5 linked regions of the Macaca fascicularis genome follow. The protein of the gene in region 1 purifies or fractionates together with the protein of each later gene. This does not show direct contact. Links are inferred from orthologs where the notes say so. Each region holds a gene or a part of one and is shown in the gene's direction. Other genes may lie near its edges. The genes, in order: OTUD1, FLNC, KEAP1, FLNA and AIFM1.

Region 1 (3,941 bases):
TTTTGACCTCTGGCTAGCAATCGCATCTATTTTCAAAAGGCCCTAGGTGATACTGCATTTGGTATTCTGAGAAAGGCTGTTTATAAAGGGCTAAAAGGCTTCCTTGCTTTCGCCCAAGCAGGTATTTGCCAAGTGACATAGGTCAGAGGTGCAGAAAAGTTGGTTTTGTCTTCGCAGGGCAGGAGAATCCACTAGAGGACTCACCCTTAACAGGTGGGTCCAAGGAAGTGCATAGAAAAGACGCAGTGGTAAAACTAGCTGGGCACCTGTAATCCCTGCCCAAGGCAAGGCTGAGGAAGGGGGATCGCTTGGACCTCGGAGGTGGAGGTCGCAGTGGGGCATGATGGCGCCACTGCAGTCAGCCTGGAAGGCAGAGCAAGACCTTGCCTTAAAAAGGAAAAGAAAAAAAAAAAAAAAGAGGAAAAGACTCGTGGTGCCAGGATTGGTGGCTAGGGCCTGTAATCCCAACACTTTGGGAGGTCAAGGCGGGAAACAACTTGAGGCCAGTAGTTCGATACCAGACTGGGCAACTGTAATAGTGAGACCCTCGCCTTAAAAAAAAAAAAAAAAATTAGCCGGGGGCGGTGGTGCACACCTGGGTTGAGGTGGGCGGATCGCTTGAGTCCGGGAGGTCAAAGCTTCAGTGAGCTATGGACTGCGCCACTACACTCCAGCTTTGGAGATAGGTGAGACCCTCATCTCTAAAAAGATAAAAGAGGCAGTAGTGGATGCAAGGAGGGATGGTAGCCCATGACCATGCAGAGGCCAAACAGCATTCTGTTCTCCACACCCATGCCAGAAGCTTTCCTGCCAAGCAAGCTTTCCGAGCATGCTAACTCGCTCCAAGAAGCGCCCATCCCGCAGCACCCACTGCAGCCGCTGCGGAGAGTGGTGCAGCGCAGAAACCCGTGCCCAAGTCGGGGAAGCGGTCTGCGGGAGTCACGTGGGCGGGAGGCCCAGCCAGGAATTCCCGGACTGCTCAGGCCTCCGAGCCCCCGGCCTCGCCCCGCCCGCGCGCGCGACGAGGGCCACGCCCGTGACGTCGGCGGAGCGGAGCAGGGGGCGGGGCGCGGGCCGGAGTGGGCGGGGCGAGCCGACGCGGCTGAATCGGGCGCCGAGACAAGCCGCGCATTCCAGCGAGTCCACGTGACGCGGCCGCGAGGCCTGAGGTAAACAACCGCGGCCCCGCCTCCCGGGCCTCCGCGCGCACCGCGCTCCTCCTCGCCGGCAGGACGCGCTCCAACGAGGCGGGCGGCTTCCTCCGTGAGTCCCCAGCGGCCGCCGCAGGCCGGAGCAGCTGCAGCGGGCGCGACGCCCCGGGTCTGCGGGCTGAGCGCACCGGCAGGAGTCGAGCTCGCGTCCCGTCCCCGCCCCCCCCACGCTGTGGCGCAGCAGGAATTTGGCCGGGACCCGGGCGCTATTCGCGGCTGCTGACGCGCGGCGGCCAGCGGCCTTGCGCTCATCTCTATTCTGGGGCCGTTGGGTCACCGCGCTCCGCCGGCCCCCTCCCCCGGGCCCGGAGGGTGTGTCCCCCGCTCCGGGGCTCGCCGCGCCTATAAGGGGCAGAGCGGCGGGCAGGGACATGCAGCTCTACAGCAGCGTCTGCACCCACTACCCCTCCGGGTCACCGGGTCCCACGGCCGCCGCCCCCGCGCCACCCGCCGCCGCCGCCCCCACCTTCAAGGTCTCGCTGCAGCCCCCGGGAGCCGCCGGCGCCGCGCCCGAGCCCGAGACCGGTGAGTGCCAGCCCGCCGCGGCCGCCGAGCACCGTGAAGCCGCCGCTGTCCCCGCCGCCAAGATGCCCGCCTTCTCCTCCTGCTTCGAGGTGGTGTCCGGGGCCGCCGCGCCCGCCTCTGCCGCCGCCGGCCCGCCTGGCGCGTCCTGCAAGCCGCCGCTGCCGCCGCACTACACGTCCACCGCGCAGATCACCGTGCGGGCCCTGGGCGCCGACAGGCTCCTGCTGCACGGGCCCGAGCCCGCTCCCGGCACCGCGGGCTCCGCCGCTGGCCCGCGCGGCCGCTGCCTCCTGCTGGCCCCAGCGCCCGCAGCCCCGGTGCCGCCGCGGCGGGGCTCCTCGGCCTGGCTCCTGGAGGAGCTGCTGCGGCCCGACTGCCCCGAGTCCGCGGGCTTGGACGCGACACGGGAGGGGCCCGATCGGAACTTCCGACTGAGCGAGCACCGCCAGGCCTTGGCCGCCGCCAAGCACCGAGGCCCCGCGCCGACCCCGGGGAGCCCCGACCCCGGTCCGTGGGGCGAAGAGCATTTGGTGGAAAGGGGCCCTAGGGGCTGGGAGAGGGGCGGCGACCGCTGCGACGCTCCCGGTGGGGACGCGGCGCGGAGGCCCGACCCAGAGGCCGAGGCACCCCCAGCCCGGAGCATCGAGACCGCCCCGAGCAGCGCGGCGGAGCCGGTGATCGTCTCCGGGTCAGATCCCAGAGACGAGAAGCTGGCCCTGTACCTGGCCGAGGTGGAGAAGCAGGACAAGTACTTGCGGCAGAGGAATAAGTACCGATTCCACATCATTCCCGACGGCAACTGCCTCTACCGAGCTGTCAGCAAGACGGTGTATGGGGACCAGAGCCTGCACCGGGAGCTGAGGGAGCAGACGGTGCACTATATCGCCGACCATCTCGACCACTTCAGCCCCCTGATTGAGGGCGACGTGGGGGAGTTTATCATCGCTGCTGCCCAAGACGGGGCATGGGCTGGGTACCCGGAATTGCTGGCCATGGGGCAGATGCTGAATGTGAATATCCACTTAACTACTGGAGGGAGGCTGGAGAGCCCCACGGTGTCTACTATGATTCATTATTTGGGCCCAGAGGATTCCCTGAGGCCTAGTATTTGGCTCAGTTGGCTCAGTAACGGACACTATGATGCTGTATTTGATCACTCCTATCCTAACCCAGAGTACGACAACTGGTGCAAACAAACTCAAGTGCAAAGGAAACGCGACGAAGAACTTGCCAAATCTATGGCCATATCCCTATCCAAAATGTATATTGAACAAAATGCATGCTCTTGAAATGTCTCAAAACCTTACACCCTGGGAATAATTGCATACATAACTTGTGTTTGGAGAATCACATGAACTCTAATCAGGGTAATAGCACTTTCAAACTTGCTAGTAGATTTTATTGTAGGTGTAATGCCTTAATCATCTTTTTGAATGTTTTCTCAGAGCTGAAGGTTGCTGGGCCACCTAAATAATGTTTCATGATAGCTTTGGGTGATTTTATTGCTATTTATAATTTGCTGTATAAAGTGAGCACTACTTAATTTGCAAGCTGATTTCTCACAGTGTAAATTTGTTCATTCCTGGTAGTCTATTTTCTATAAAAATGTATTTTTGCACAACATTTTTAAAAACTGGTGTACCTTCATCTATGATGTGTTCAGGCATAAATCCAGAGAAGTGCTTTATATGAAATGTATTATTTTGAACAGAGTTTGTGATTTGGTATTTTATGTTGTTGAAATTTGAATTTCACAATTCTTAGATAATTATTTCAAATGGATATTGAAACATTCTTGTTACCAGATGTTTGGCCCATTCCATTTTGATGAAACAGAGCTGTTGTTTTGGAAATCATTATTTTTCTAGAAATGGTGAATCTTTTAAAGAAAATTACCTAATGGAAGGTTGTGGGAAGGTGTTTTTTTTCTTTTTTTTCCTGTTTTAAGGGATAGTACCAGGTCTTACTTGAATGAAAGTCTGATATTTGCTGATGGCAGAATGGTTATTCTGTACCCTGGTTGATATGTAGAGTAGATCGTCTGGTGCTCTCAATTGTTTTTATTGACATTTGTTATTTTGTTATAAAGAGAATGTTAACATGGTATAAAACTCTGTGACAAGATAAGCCTCCTGCTTTAACTTCTTGGATCCAACTAAGAGATTTATAAACTAATGGCATAAATGTCTGGAGCCACCCTTGGCA
Region 2 (3,515 bases), on another chromosome or scaffold:
CTGCTCACTAGAGCACTGCCCTCAGGCTGGGTCGGGGTCCCCATGGCTCCTTGAGGGGATTGAGGAGCTGGGACTTCAAGGCTATTGATCTGCCTTCTATCCCCACACCTTGCCTCCCTCTCCTCAGAGGGCACAGAGGAGCCAGTGAAGGTGCGGGAGGCTGGGGACGGTGTGTTCGAGTGCGAGTACTACCCGGTAGTGCCTGGGAAGTATGTGGTGACCATCACGTGGGGCGGCTATGCCATCCCTCGCAGGTAAGTACCTTGCGCCCCCCATGCTGTCCTGTCTAGGACATCACAGGGAGGGATGAAGGGCAGTGGGCTGCGGGGGAGTTTGAGGGGAGATGGAGGGGGACCTCGGGGGTCACTTCCTGGAGTAGACACCAGCTCCCTCTCTGCTCAGCCCCTTTGAGGTACAGGTGAGCCCAGAGGCAGGAGTGCAAAAGGTCCGGGCCTGGGGTCCTGGTTTGGAGACTGGCCAGGTGGGCAAGTCAGCTGACTTTGTGGTGGAAGCCATTGGCACCGAGGTGGGGACACTGGGTAAGTGGCTGAGGGGCAGGAGGAGGGAGTGCTGTGGGGGAGGGCAGCAGGGGGCACTGTGGGTAATGGGTGCAGTGAGCATGCTGGGGAGTGCTGGGGTGAGCAGGGAGATGGGACATGAGGCGGCCAGAGGGGAACTGGGGGATGGGAGGGTCTTGCCTGATGCTGGACCCTCTGACCCTCCCTGACCTCGCCCCAGGCTTCTCCATCGAGGGGCCCTCACAAGCCAAGATCGAATGTGATGACAAGGGGGATGGCTCCTGCGATGTGCGGTACTGGCCTACGGAGCCTGGGGAGTACGCTGTGCACGTCATCTGTGACGACGAGGACATCCGAGACTCACCCTTCATTGCCCACATCTTGCCCGCCCCACCTGACTGCTTCCCAGATAAGGTATGGTCCCAGATTCCACACACCTGCCCCCGGGGTGGGGCAAGCTGGTTCTCCTCCCGTCCCCAACCCAGCCTTCTTCCCTCCACACAGGTGAAGGCCTTTGGGCCTGGCCTGGAGCCTACAGGCTGCATCGTGGACAAGCCCGCTGAGTTCACCATTGATGCCCGTGCAGCTGGCAAGGGAGACCTGAAGCTCTATGCCCAGGTAGGTCATTATCCAGTCTCTGCTGCCCTTACTACCTATGGCAGGGACCCTGGAAGGCAGGGCCAGGCCAGAGGCAGAGACCTCCCGGCAGGAAATGACAACATCACAGAAGATCAGGCAGGACTGATACTCATGGGCCCATCAGTACCATGGAAAATTTTAAATTTTGTGTTTTCTTTTCTTTTTTTTTTTTTGAGATGGAGTCTTGCTCTGTTGCCCAGGAACAACACTCACTGCAAGCTCCGCCCCCTGGGTTCATGCCATTCTCCTGCCTCAGCCTCCCAAGTAGCTGGGATTACAGGTGCCCGCCACCACGCCCGGCTAATTTTTTGTGTGTTTTTTAGTAGAGACCAGGATGGTCTCGATCTCCTGACCTTATGATCTGCCTGCCTCGGCCTCCCAGAGTGCTGGGATTACAGGCGTGAGCCACCACGGCGGGCCAAATTTTGTGTTTTCTTAATGATGATAACCTAAAAATGTATTTTACCAAAGAGTCATTTTTGTGCTAATTTGTAATTGAAAGATTGTTTCATTGAATAAGACAAGGTTTCTCAGACTGGTGTCCATTGACCCCTAGAAGTTAATGAACATAGTCTTGAGAATCTAAGAGGGTGATTCTTCTTTGAACGGCTCATGATTCAGTTTTAGGAACATAAATTTAGTCCACACTCTTCCTGTCCAACACATTTCAGAGTTGAGGAAACCTAGGCTGGGAGAGCAAGCCATACAGATGGCCTTGAGCCAGGCCTCCAGGCTCCAAGGGTGGGCTCTGGCCACCAGAGCATGTGGCCCTGGGCTCTGGTGGCCTCAGTGACTGGTGTGGGGGTGGGAGTGCCTGCGCGTTGGCAGTGGGAAAGGAGGCGCTGGGTTCACCTGTGGCCAGCAGAGGGCGCTCTGCAGAGGCCACAGCTATGAACTTTGCTTGGGTGATGCCCACAGGACGCGGACGGCTGTCCCATCGACATCAAGGTGATCCCCAACGGCGATGGCACCTTCCGCTGCTCCTACGTGCCCACCAAGCCCATTAAGCACACCATCATCATCTCCTGGGGAGGCGTAAACGTGCCCAAGAGCCCCTTCCGGGTGCGTCCTCCCAGCCTGCCCCGTGCCCACCACCAGAGGTCCTTGAGGGAGGGTGGGCGCCTCGCTAGAGTCCCTGTTGTCCCTGGGCTCAGGCTGGGACTGAGGCTTGGGCTGGTGCCACTGAGGCTAGGCTGGGTGCGCTGGGCAGGAGGATGAGCCTTGAGGGAGGTCTCCGTGCTGAGCTGTGACCCCTCCTGCAGGTGAACGTGGGCGAGGGCAGCCACCCCGAGCGGGTGAAAGTGTACGGCCCCGGCGTGGAGAAGACAGGCCTCAAGGCCAACGAGCCCACCTACTTCACCGTGGACTGCAGCGAGGCAGGGCAAGGTGCGCCCAGCCAGAAGGGGCGAGTCTGGGAGGGGGGCAGGGGTGAGTCGGGTTGGGGGGCTGAGCCTGACTCACAGCGGTGCCCGCCTCTCTGCAGGTGACGTGAGCATTGGCATCAAGTGCGCCCCCGGCGTGGTGGGCCCTGCAGAGGCTGACATCGACTTCGACATCATCAAGAATGACAATGACACCTTCACCGTCAAGTACACGCCACCGGGGGCGGGCCGCTACACCATCATGGTGCTGTTTGCCAACCAGGTACCCAAGCTCCTGGTACCTCCCAGCTCTAGAAGGCAGCTGGAGATGCTGTCACGGGACAGGGAGGGATGATTCCACAGACATGGTGGAGCGCTACCTGTGTGAGGCAGGGTGCCTCAGAGGAAGCAAAGGGGGCTCTTTTGGAGGCTGCCCCTGTCTATGCTGGGTCCCCTGGGTGTGTCCTGAGCCACATCTAGCCCAACAGCAGGGGTGTGTTCCCCTCGAGAGCCTTGACTGAGCCTCCTCCACATCCAGGAGATCCCCGCCAGCCCCTTCCACATCAAGGTGGACCCATCCCACGATGCCAGCAAAGTCAAGGCCGAGGGCCCTGGGCTGAATCGCACAGGTGAGTGTCTGGGCAGGGGCTGGGCCTGGCTCGAGGTTGGGGTTAAGTGGCTACCAGGCCCTCACCACATCTCTGGGTGGCTCCTCAGGTGTGGAAGTTGGGAAGCCCACCCACTTCACGGTGCTGACCAAGGGAGCCGGCAAGGCCAAGTTGGATGTGCAGTTTGCAGGGACAGCCAAGGGCGAGGCTGTGCGGGACTTTGAGATCATAGACAACCATGACTATTCCTACACTGTCAAGTACACCGCTGTCCAGCAGGTGCGCTCTGCCCCTCCCATGCCCCCGCCCGACTGGACTGTCGGAGCTCTGGGTCTCCCTCCTCCAGTCCCACGGGACCAGTTCTGGATCCTCCATGCCTTCGCTGCCTC
Region 3 (3,610 bases), on another chromosome or scaffold:
CCCATTTTTCTTATGCCCTTGCAGGTATGAGCCAGAGCGGGATGAGTGGCACTTGGTGGCCCCAATGCTGACACGAAGGATCGGGGTGGGCGTGGCCGTCCTCAATCGTCTGCTTTATGCCGTGGGGGGCTTTGACGGGACAAACCGCCTTAATTCAGCTGAGCGTTACTACCCAGAGAGGAACGAGTGGCGAATGATCACAGCAATGAACACCATCCGAAGCGGGGCAGGTGGGTGGGGACGGTAGTGAGGGGAGCATCCAGGAACACCCCCACCATCCTGGGGTGAAACTGAGCCAGGCCTGGGAGAGACCCCCTGTTGCAACCCTCACCCTGAGATAACCACAGAAGCACTGGATTCTGATAGAGTCCAAGCTTCTCTCTCTCCATGCTTCATTTCTGAGGGTGAGAAGGGAGAGGAGAGAGGAAAGGTCTCCCTCAAGGAGGTGATGGCTGGGGCTCCCAAAGCCAGTCCTCCAGAGTCACCTTCTCTGCACGGTGCCCTTTAGGCGTCTGTGTCCTGCACAACTGCATCTATGCTGCCGGGGGCTATGATGGTCAGGACCAGCTGAACAGCGTGGAGCGTTATGACGTGGAAACAGAGACGTGGACTTTCGTAGCCCCCATGAAGCACCGGCGAAGTGCCCTGGGGATCACTGTCCACCAGGGGAGAATCTACGTCCTTGGTGAGGCCCTGGGGGTGGGGAAGAGTCCCGACTAGCCCCATCTCTTGTGGACTGTGGCTGCTTTTGCTTTTTTGCTTTCCTTTTTTTTTTTTTTCTTCTTAGAAACAGGGTCTCGCTCTGTCGCCCAGGCTGAGTGCAGTGGTGTGATCACAGCTTGCTGGAGCCTCAACCTCCTGGGCTCCAGCCATCCTCCTGCCTCAGCTTCCCAAGTAGCAGGGACCACACGCATGCACCACCACACCCGGCTAATGTTTGTTTTTTTGAGATGGAGTCTCGCAATGTTGCCCAGGCTGGGGTGCAATGGCATGATCTCAGCTCACTGCAACCTCCGCCTCCTGGAGGTGCAAGCAATTCTCCTGTCTTAGCCTCCTGAGTAGCTGGGACTATAGGTGTGTGCCACCGCACCTGGCTAATTTTTTGTATTTTAGTAGAGATGGGGTTTCACCATGTTAGCCAGGCTGGTCTCGAACTCCTGACCTCGTGATCCACCCACTTCAGCCTTCCAAAGTGCTGGGATTATAGGCGTGAGCCACCGCGCTGGGGCTTTTTCTTTTTTTGAGACAGGAGTCTCGCTCTGTTGCCAGGCTGGAGTGCAATGGCGCGATCTCAGCTCACTGCAACCTCCGCCTCCTGGTTTCAAGCGATTCTCCCCCCTCAGCCTCCCATGTAGCTGATATTACAGGTGCCCACCACTATGCCCTGCTAATTTTTATATTTTAGTAGAGATGGGGTTTCACCATGCTGGTCAGGCTGGTCTTGAACTCCTGACCTCAGGTGATCTGCCCACATCAGCCTCCCAAAGTGCTGGGATTACAGGCGTGAGCCACCACACTCGGCTTAATGTTATTTATGTATTTATTTATTTTTGAAACGGAGTCTGGCTCTGTCGCTCAGGCTGGAGTGCAGTGGCGCACTCTCGGCTCACTGCAAGCTCTACCTCCCAGGTTCATGCCATTCTCCTGGCTCAGCCTCCCGAGTAGCTGGGATTATAGGCACCTGCCACCACGCCCGGCTAATTTTTATTTTTTTTTGTATTTTTAGTAGAGATGGGGTTTCACCATGTTAGCCAGGATGGTCTCAATCTCCTGACCTTGTGATCTGCCCACCTCGGCCTCCCAAAGTGCTGGGATTACAGGCGTGAGCCACAGCACCCGGCTGTTTTTATTTATTTTTATTTTATTTTTTTGAGACAGAGTTTTGCTTGTGTTGCCCAGGCTGGAATGCAATGGCGTGATCTCGGCTCACTGCAACCTCTGCCTTCCAGGTTCCAGTGATTCTCCTGTCTCAGCCTCCCTAGTAGCTGGAACTACAGGCACGCACCACCACGCCTGGCTAAATTTTTATGTTTTTTTTGGTAGAGATGGGATTTCACCATGTTGCCCAGGCTGGTCTCAAATTCCTGGACTCAAGTGATCCACCCACCTCAGTCTCCCAAAGTGCTAGATTTACAGGCTAAGCTACCGCGCCTGGCCTTTTTTTTTTTTTTTTTTTTTTCTTCAGTAAGAGACTAGAGTTTTGCTATGTTGCCCAGGCTGTCCTCGAACTCCTGGCCTCAAGCGATCCTCCCGCCTCAGCCCTGCAAAGTGCTAGGATTATAGGCGTGAGCCACTGCGCCCGGCCTGCTTTTGCATCTCACAGCTGCTTCTCCCTCTTTCTGTCCCCTGCTCTTGGATGTGGTGTGACAGGTGGTGACCGTCCCTTCTGTTCTTCCTGCAGGAGGCTATGATGGTCACACGTTCCTGGACAGTGTGGAGTGTTACGACCCAGATACAGACACCTGGAGCGAGGTGACCCGAATGACATCGGGCCGGAGCGGAGTGGGCGTGGCTGTCACCATGGAGCCCTGCCGGAAGCAGATCGACCAGCAGAACTGTACCTGTTGAGGCACTTTTGTTTCTTGGGCGAAAATACAGTCCAATGGGGAGTATCATTGTTTTTGTACAAAAACCAGGATTAAAAGAAAAAAGACAGCACTGCAAATAACCCATCTTCCGGGAAGGGAGGCCGCGATGCCTCAGTGTTAAAATGACATCTCAAAAAGAAGTCCAAAGCGGGAATCATGTGCCTCTCAGCGGAGCCCCAGGAGTGTCCAAGACAGCCTGGCTGGGAAAGGGGGTGTGGAAAGAGCAGGCTTCCAGGAGAGAGGCCCCCAAACCCTCTGGCCCTGGGTCCCACCCACCCAGCCAGCCACGCCGGCAGCCCTCACCTTGTGATTTGTTCTTGGATACCTGGGAGGGGGCCAATGGGGGCCTCAGGCGGAGGCCCCCTCTGGAAATGTGGTTCCCAGGGATGGGCCTGTACATAGAAGCCACCGGATGGCACTTCCCCACCGGATGGACAGTTATTTTGTTGATAAGTAACCCTGTAATTTTCCAAGGAAAATAAAGAACAGACTAACTAGTGTCTTTCACCCTGGCTCTGGGCTGGAGGTCTGAAACCCGGGGCCAGAAAGGGCTCTTCTCCTGAAACACATTCCTCTTTGACTTAGGGCTGGTATTTGAAACCGTTTTGTAATCTTTGCCCATCGCATTTTGATATGTAGGGCATCTTTCTCCCCATAGGCAAGCCACACAGCTGTCCTTCAGTTTCAGCTGCCTTGGAAGACAAGGAGCTAATTCCTAGTCACATCTCCCAGGGCTCCCCAAGCTCATTTTTTTTTTTTTTCCTTTTATTTTGAGACAGAGTTTTGCTCGTGTTGCGCAGGCTGGAGTGCAATAGCGTGATCTCAGCTCACAGCAACCTCTGCCTCCTGGGTTCAAGTGATTCTCCTGCCTCAACCTCCCGAGTAGCTGGGATTACAGGCGTGTGCCACCACATCTGGCTAATTTTGTTTTTGTTTTTTTTTTTTTTTTTTTTTTTTTTTTTTTTTTGAGACGGAGCCTTGCTCTGTCGCCCAGGCTGGAGTGCAGTGGCCGGATCTCAGCT
Region 4 (3,515 bases), on another chromosome or scaffold:
TCAGCCCCCTGCCCCACAGGGGAGGTTCGGATGCCCTCAGGCAAGGTGGCACAGCCTGCCATCACTGACAACAAAGATGGCACCGTGACCGTACGGTATGCACCCAGTGAGGCTGGCCTGCACGAGATGGACATCCGCTATGACAACATGCACATCCCAGGTGGGCCTGCCCTGCCTCTGCCCAATCCACTGCCACCACCTCACAGAGAGATGGGACTGGGGGACACATGAGGCTGCCATTCCACAAGGCCCTTCTTCCTGCCTCAGGAAGCCCCTTGCAGTTCTATGTGGATTATGTCAACTGCGGCCATGTCACTGCCTATGGACCTGGCCTCACCCACGGAGTAGTGAACAAGCCTGCCACTTTCACCGTCAACACCAAGGATGCAGGAGAGGGTGAGCAATAGCTCCGGTCTTGACCTGCTCTGTGCCCGGGATGCCCTCACCGGGCTAAGGGCTGGACTCAGGAGATACTCCTGAATGGGGCTCCCTGCCCTGCTGCCCTGGCCATTGGGGCTCCTCAGTGTAGGCCAACTGGAGTGTCCCCAGCATAGTTCCCATGCTCACCCACGGCTCTCTCCAGGGGGCCTGTCTCTGGCCATCGAGGGCCCGTCCAAAGCAGAAATCAGCTGCACTGACAACCAGGATGGGACATGCAGCGTCTCCTACCTGCCTGTGTTGCCGGGTGACTACAGCATCCTAGTCAAGTACAATGAACAGCACATCCCAGGCAGCCCCTTCACGGCCCGGGTCACAGGTGGGTGGCACTGGGAGCAGTGACAAATGGGTGGCAGGATGGGCATGGTCTCCCATGGCTGGACACACAGTGATGGCTGGCCTGCCTCCACCAGGTGACGACTCCATGCGTATGTCCCACCTAAAGGTGGGCTCTGCTGCCGACATCCCCATCAACATCTCAGAGACGGATCTCAGCCTGCTGACGGCCACTGTGGTCCCGCCCTCAGGCCGGGAGGAGCCCTGTTTGCTGAAGCGGCTGCGTAATGGTCACGTGGGTAAGTGGCCGAAGAGTCCAGGGGTTTCAGAAAGGCAGCAGTCTGTGGGAACCCACGGCTTCCCTGACTGACAGCCCTGCCCTGTGTCCAGGGATTTCATTCGTGCCCAAGGAGACAGGGGAGCACCTGGTGCATGTGAAGAAAAACGGCCAGCACGTGGCCAGCAGCCCCATCCCGGTGGTGATCAGCCAGTCGGAAATCGGGGATGCCAGTCGCGTTCGGGTCTCTGGCCAGGGCCTTCACGAAGGCCACACCTTTGAGCCTGCGGAGTTTATCATTGATACCCGAGATGCAGGTAGGCAGTGGCTGCCCACCAGCTGGGGTGGGAACACTCTGCATAGCACCGAAGCTCAGGGGTATCCATTCCCCAGGCTATGGTGGGCTCAGCCTGTCCATTGAGGGCCCCAGCAAGGTGGACATCAACACAGAGGACCTGGAGGACGGGACGTGCAGGGTCACCTACTGCCCCACAGAGCCTGGCAACTACATCATCAACATCAAGTTTGCCGACCAGCACGTGCCTGGTGAGTGCAGCAGTGCCTCGGCAGCCCCCGTCACTACACCAGGGCCCACATGCGGTATGTGACCGGAGGGGCGTGGGCCGTGCTTTCTTCCTGCAGGCAGCCCCTTCTCTGTGAAAGTGACAGGCGAGGGCCGGGTGAAAGAGAGCATCACCCGCAGGCGTCGGGCTCCTTCAGTGGCCAACGTTGGCAGTCATTGTGATCTCAGCCTAAAGATCCCTGGTAGGGGCTGTGGGGAGCCTGGGGAGGGGTCCTGGGGCTCAAGCAGCCCCAAGAGGAGGGGTGGAGCCCAGGGCTGCTGCTCACTAGCCCATCCCCACCCTGCAGAAATTAGCATCCAGGATATGACAGCCCAGGTGACCAGCCCATCGGGCAAGAGCCATGAGGCCGAGATCGTGGAAGGGGAGAACCACACCTACTGTATCCGCTTTGTTCCTGCTGAGATGGGCACACACACAGTCAGCGTCAAGTACAAGGGCCAGCACGTGCCTGGGAGCCCCTTCCAGTTCACCGTGGGGCCCCTAGGGGAAGGGGGAGCCCACAAGGTCCGAGCTGGGGGCCCTGGCCTGGAGAGGGCTGAAGCTGGAGTGCCAGGTAGGCCTGCTCACACGCTGAGCGCTCGCTCTCCTGCGTTGGCCGGGGTGGGGTTGGGGGTGGAGGAAGGAGCTGGCAGACATGTCTACCTTGGCTATGCCTGGAGGGGGCCAAGGCTGGTGGAGCAGCCTTCAGTGAGGACACACTGTTCTCCCACAGCCGAATTCAGTATCTGGACCCGGGAAGCTGGTGCCGGAGGCCTGGCCATTGCTGTCGAGGGCCCCAGCAAGGCTGAGATCTCTTTCGAGGACCGCAAGGACGGCTCCTGTGGTGTGGCTTATGTGGTCCAGGAGCCAGGTACTGGGAACCCGGCTGGGGTTGGAGGAGGTGGGGCCTGAGTGTGGGTATTGGACCCAGGGATTGCACAAATGGCTCTGCGTGGCACTCACTCTTCACTTTCAGGTCCCAGGGCCACCCAGGCTGTTCGTGGGAGGCGGGAGGCCCAAAGGCTGATGAACCGGTCTTACGCTCTTTCCCTGCCCAGGTGACTACGAAGTCTCAGTCAAGTTCAACGAGGAACACATTCCCGACAGCCCCTTCGTGGTGCCTGTGGCTTCTCCGTCTGGCGATGCCCGCCGCCTCACTGTTTCTAGCCTTCAGGTGAGGCACTGAGAGAAACCGCCCACCTGCGGCTCCTGGGCCCGGACAGACCAGAGCTACCGCAGAGAGCAGGCCTCGGCCCTGTGTCCAGTGACCCCCTGGCCCAGCTCTGGGTTCCAGGCCTCTGCTCTGGCCGGGTGCAGCCCACGCTTGGGGTCGGCAGGAAATATCCTGCCCACCACGTGGAGTTTTTCTCGTGTCTCAGGTCTAAAGGCTTTGAACAGAAGCCTGTGCCCCTTGAGCACCAGGGCTGTGGTTTAAAGAGGGACAGCCTGCCAAGGCTGGGTGCTGCCCACAGGGTGGGGCCGCCCTCCCTTCCTGCCACCTGGGTGTGTGCGATGGCAGAGTGTGGGGGCAGGCGTGGGGATGTGTGCCTGTGGCTTCCTGCCCCTTGCAAATCAGTGGCTCTCCCTCTTTAAACCAAGTTGGACGCCAGATGGGTAAGTGCAACCCGCGGGCCTCCTGCTCCTGGGGCCTTTCCTTTCTCCCTTGCCCTTGCCCTGGCCCAAGCCCCCCATCTAACCATGTCTGCTGTGCTTCCAGGAGTCAGGGCTAAAGGTCAACCAGCCAGCCTCTTTTGCAGTCAGCCTGAATGGGGCCAAGGGGGCGATCGATGCCAAGGTGCACAGCCCCTCAGGAGCCCTGGAGGAGTGCTATGTCACAGAAATTGACCAAGGTGAGGCCCTGTCCCCGCCCGGCCGCCCTGCCCTGCTGGTTGGAAGCAGGCTGAGAGTACAAAAGGAAGGTACCGCTTCTGTAAGCAGCCAAGACGGGGCCCCATCTCCTG
Region 5 (3,515 bases), on another chromosome or scaffold:
GAGTATAGATCTAAAGTCTCTTATCTGTAATTCAGATATTGAAATTGAAATTTTAGAATGACCAAAATTTAAGACTATCAAGTTTTCATTTCTCATTTGCCAGTAAAACCTGACCTGAACTGGAGAGAGGCTACTTTATAATCTTTTTAAAATATCACTTAGCATGATTGGTCATATTAATATGTTTGACTATGAGTTGCTGCCCTTTACCTTGCTAGCTGTCACTATGTGGTATATGCCCCATATGCTTAAGACCAGATAATTCAAAGTTCCAAAATACACATGGTCCCCAGGATTTCAGATGAGAGACCACAGATCCACACTGGGCTTGTTTTACCCGTCTGTGGCCTAACATTATGAAAGCAAGGGGGAAATTCCTTCTCTAATCTCTGCAAGTATACATGGGATGCTACTACCAGTGTCCATTCTGTTTGTCTGTTAAAGCCTAGACAGGACAGGAACATATGTGTCAGCCTCTAGGCTAAGCTTGTCCAACCTGCAGCCCAACACAAATTTGTAAACTTTTTTAAAACATTATGAGATATTTTTGCGATTTTTTTTTTTTTTTTTTTTTTTTTTAGCTCATCAGCTATGGTTAGTGTTAGTATATTTTTTATGTGGCCCAGGACAGTTCTTCCTCCAATGTGACCCGGGGAAGCCAAAAGATAGGATGTACCTGCTCTAGATGGATGTTTCTCAATGTGTGGTCCCCATCCTAACAGCAACAGCAGCAACAGCAGCATCCCCTGGGAACTTGTTAGAAATGCACATTATTGAGCCCCATCCCAGATCTATTGAATCAGAACCTCTGGACCTGGGGCCTGGCCGGCTTTGTTTTATAAACCCTTCAGGGCATTCGGATACACTCTCAAGTTTGAGAACCACTGCTCTAGATTGGGGTCTGCCAACTACAGCCACAGGCCAAAGCCAGTCAGTCACCTGCTTTTGTGTGCCCCAGGAGCCATGAGCGGGTTTTGCTTTTTTTTATTTTTTTTTCCTTTTTTCTTTTTCTTTCTTTGAGACAGAGTTTCGCTCTTGTTGCCCAGGCTGGAGTACAATGGCGCAATCTCGGCTCACCGCAACCTCTGCCTCCTGGGTTCAAGCGATTCTCTTGCCTCAGCCTCCCGAGTCGCTGGGATTACAGGCATGCACCACTAGTGGCCTGTTTTTAGTATAAGCAGGGTTTCTCCATGTTAGTCAGGCTGGTCTCTAACTCCCGACCTCAGGTTATTCGCCTGCCTCGGCCTTCCAAAGTGCTGGGATTACAGGTGTGAGCCACCGCGCCTGACCTTTTTTCTTTTTTCTTTTCTTTTTTTTTTTTTTTTGAGACGAAGTCTCACTCTGTCGCCAGGCTGGAGTGCAGTGGCATGATCTCGGCTCACTGCAAGCTCCGCCTCCCGGGTTCACGCCATTCTTCTGCCTCAGCCTCCCGAGTAGCTGGGACTACACCTGCCCAGCTAATTTTTAAAGGGGTTTCACCATGTTGGCCAGGTTGGTCTTGATCTCTTGACCTTGTGATCTGCCCGCCTAGGCCTCCCAAAGTGCTGCGATTACAGGCATGAGCCCCTGGCCTACATTTTCTAAATGGCTGAAAAAAATTAAAGACAATTTCGTGACACATGAAAATTATATAAAATATAAACTTCAGTGTCCATAAAGTTTTATTGGAACATGGCCACATTCATTCATTTATGTATTGTCTTTGGCTGCTTTTATGCAGCATCAGCGGAATTGAGTAGTTGCAGCAGACACCAAATGGCCCAGAAAGCTGAAAATATTTACCATCTGGTTCTTTGCAGAAAAAAATTGCTGCTCTAGGTTGATAGTCAACAAACACGAGGAATAATCACAGAGAAGGTACACTGAGACCTTCCTTTATCTGAAAATGTCAGCATCTCCCTAGAAAAAGAAATCTACAGAACTCACATATTTCTATGTACGGGTGTTGTTATGATCATCACATCATTACATAGCTCTGCATAGTTTTACATCAAAATAACCTTTGTATTATTTTGGAGGAGTAAGAGCCAAGGAGTTGCTGGACACTTTAAATTTTGTCATTATAAAAAATATTTCATAGTCCAAAATTTTTTAGTTCTTTGGGGGAGAGAAACTCATTTAAAATTTTATTTTTCTGGTTTTCTTCTGAGCTTTAACATTTCTGTATTCCAGGACATATTACCTTTCATGCAAGATTGAACTGTGTCCTGGTTAGAGTGTGTTGCGTTTTATTTTGTGCAAGATTGGAGCCATTTAGATTACTCCTTAAATGGTTATTATAATGTCCCAGGTAGCCCATGGTTAACTTTGTATATCTACCTATTCAGTCATCTTTCTGTGTTTACTTCATTTATGGGAAAGACATGAAGGGAGAGGTATCTGATGAACTATTCATGTTTTTCATGATCTTTTCTGGAAGCTGAAGATTTCCTCACTGGGCAGCATTAAATTTTACTCTTAAAAACTTCAGCAACTTAAGAGTGTTCATTCAGCTGTCTGTAGTATTTATGTATGCAGTTTTTATGATGTTTTTCTTGATCATTTAATGGTGAATATCTGTGGGCAGTAAGTCTTGTACAGTGCACTGACGTTTAATCATAAATATGTATTAACTATTTTATTTTTGTATGTGTGTGTCTTAATAAATTATGTTTCTTAGGCAACTTGTTCCAGCGATGGCATGTTCCTCTAGAACTCCAGATGACAAGACAAATGGCTAGCTCTGGTGCATCAGGGGGCAAAATCGATAATTCTGTGTTAGTCCTTATTGTGGGCTTATCAACAGTAGGAGCTGGTGTCTATGTAAGTAGAAAAGCAGCGTGTGTAAAGAAGCTGCCAAACAGCTCCCATTAATAGACTCGATAGTACTCTGCTTTAAAACTTTTGCAACTAATTCCCCTTTCTCCTTTTGGAAAAAATTTCAAAAAGCTTTCTTTTAAGTGCCTGCTGCCTAATATCTTATGGGAGCCAATTCGGGAATGACTGAAATTTAATCTCATGTTGATTGATTTCTGCTCTTTTCACTTGTCTTTTTCCTCTTTACTTGAAAGCCACTGTGTTTTCCTAGATTCAAGTAACCCACAAAATTGTACCTGTTTTCTTGGATGTCACACACTAACCTGTGAATAAAGTCAAAATCCATTGCAGCTCCTTAGCACAATATTTGATTTTGACCTATTTGTCAGACATTTTATTTTTCCTCAGCTTGAGGTTCACATTAAAAAACAAAAAGCCTTCAATAAAAAATATTAAGTATTCCTAAAAGGAAAGCTATCCCTGAATCTCACCCAAAGACTAAATTACAGAAGCAGGGCTAGTATCACTGATTTTAGAATGGAGTTTGTTTGAGGTGAGAAATATGGTGTTTAATTGCTACGTAGTATTAGCACCATTATATCTCCTTAAATGAACTCCGATCAGCTTAGCAGGTCACAGAGGAATTATTCTGTGGGTGTTTTTTCCCTAACTTGGCAGGGTTTACTGTGACTAAGCTGATCAGTCTAAAGTTGGATCCT

The links.
Region 2: the proteins of OTUD1 (region 1) and FLNC purify together in Homo sapiens (affinity purification with mass spectrometry; 3 studies listed by BioGRID and IntAct, with this or other methods). This does not show direct contact. The link is inferred for Macaca fascicularis from reciprocal best matches to the Homo sapiens genes OTUD1 and FLNC.
Region 3: the proteins of OTUD1 (region 1) and KEAP1 purify together in Homo sapiens (affinity purification with western blotting; 3 studies listed by BioGRID, with this or other methods). This does not show direct contact. The link is inferred for Macaca fascicularis from reciprocal best matches to the Homo sapiens genes OTUD1 and KEAP1.
Region 4: the proteins of OTUD1 (region 1) and FLNA purify together in Homo sapiens (affinity purification with mass spectrometry; 3 studies listed by BioGRID and IntAct, with this or other methods). This does not show direct contact. The link is inferred for Macaca fascicularis from reciprocal best matches to the Homo sapiens genes OTUD1 and FLNA.
Region 5: the proteins of OTUD1 (region 1) and AIFM1 purify together in Homo sapiens (affinity purification with mass spectrometry; 3 studies listed by BioGRID, with this or other methods). This does not show direct contact. The link is inferred for Macaca fascicularis from reciprocal best matches to the Homo sapiens genes OTUD1 and AIFM1.

The regions. Positions count from the first base shown.
Region 1 is NC_088383.1:24,239,124-24,243,064, forward strand, and holds the start of OTUD1 (OTU domain-containing protein 1), read left to right. Parts: upstream 1-1,130; 5' UTR 1,131-1,582; coding exon 1,583-3,025; 3' UTR 3,026-3,941. UniProt on the Homo sapiens protein: Deubiquitinating enzyme that specifically hydrolyzes 'Lys-63'-linked polyubiquitin to monoubiquitin.
Region 2 is NC_088377.1:170,300,399-170,303,913, forward strand, and holds part of FLNC (filamin-C), read left to right. Parts: intron 1-127; coding exon 128-254; intron 255-402; coding exon 403-539; intron 540-738; coding exon 739-932; intron 933-1,022; coding exon 1,023-1,136; intron 1,137-2,075; coding exon 2,076-2,219; intron 2,220-2,419; coding exon 2,420-2,543; intron 2,544-2,640; coding exon 2,641-2,801; intron 2,802-3,056; coding exon 3,057-3,147; intron 3,148-3,235; coding exon 3,236-3,405; intron 3,406-3,515.
Region 3 is NC_088393.1:11,048,185-11,051,794, reverse strand, and holds the end of KEAP1 (kelch-like ECH-associated protein 1), read left to right. Parts: intron 1-24; coding exon 25-230; intron 231-508; coding exon 509-685; intron 686-2,401; coding exon 2,402-2,568; 3' UTR 2,569-3,095; downstream 3,096-3,610. UniProt on the Homo sapiens protein: Substrate-specific adapter of a BCR (BTB-CUL3-RBX1) E3 ubiquitin ligase complex that regulates the response to oxidative stress by targeting NFE2L2/NRF2 for ubiquitination.
Region 4 is NC_088395.1:160,379,401-160,382,915, forward strand, and holds part of FLNA (filamin-A), read left to right. Parts: intron 1-19; coding exon 20-160; intron 161-267; coding exon 268-396; intron 397-583; coding exon 584-757; intron 758-851; coding exon 852-1,013; intron 1,014-1,104; coding exon 1,105-1,308; intron 1,309-1,384; coding exon 1,385-1,537; intron 1,538-1,633; coding exon 1,634-1,756; intron 1,757-1,861; coding exon 1,862-2,128; intron 2,129-2,287; coding exon 2,288-2,425; intron 2,426-2,612; coding exon 2,613-2,728; intron 2,729-3,271; coding exon 3,272-3,404; intron 3,405-3,515. UniProt on the Homo sapiens protein: Promotes orthogonal branching of actin filaments and links actin filaments to membrane glycoproteins. Anchors various transmembrane proteins to the actin cytoskeleton and serves as a scaffold for a wide range of cytoplasmic signaling proteins.
Region 5 is NC_088395.1:136,424,771-136,428,285, reverse strand, and holds part of AIFM1 (apoptosis-inducing factor 1, mitochondrial), read left to right. Parts: intron 1-2,659; coding exon 2,660-2,802; intron 2,803-3,515. UniProt on the Homo sapiens protein: Functions both as NADH oxidoreductase and as regulator of apoptosis.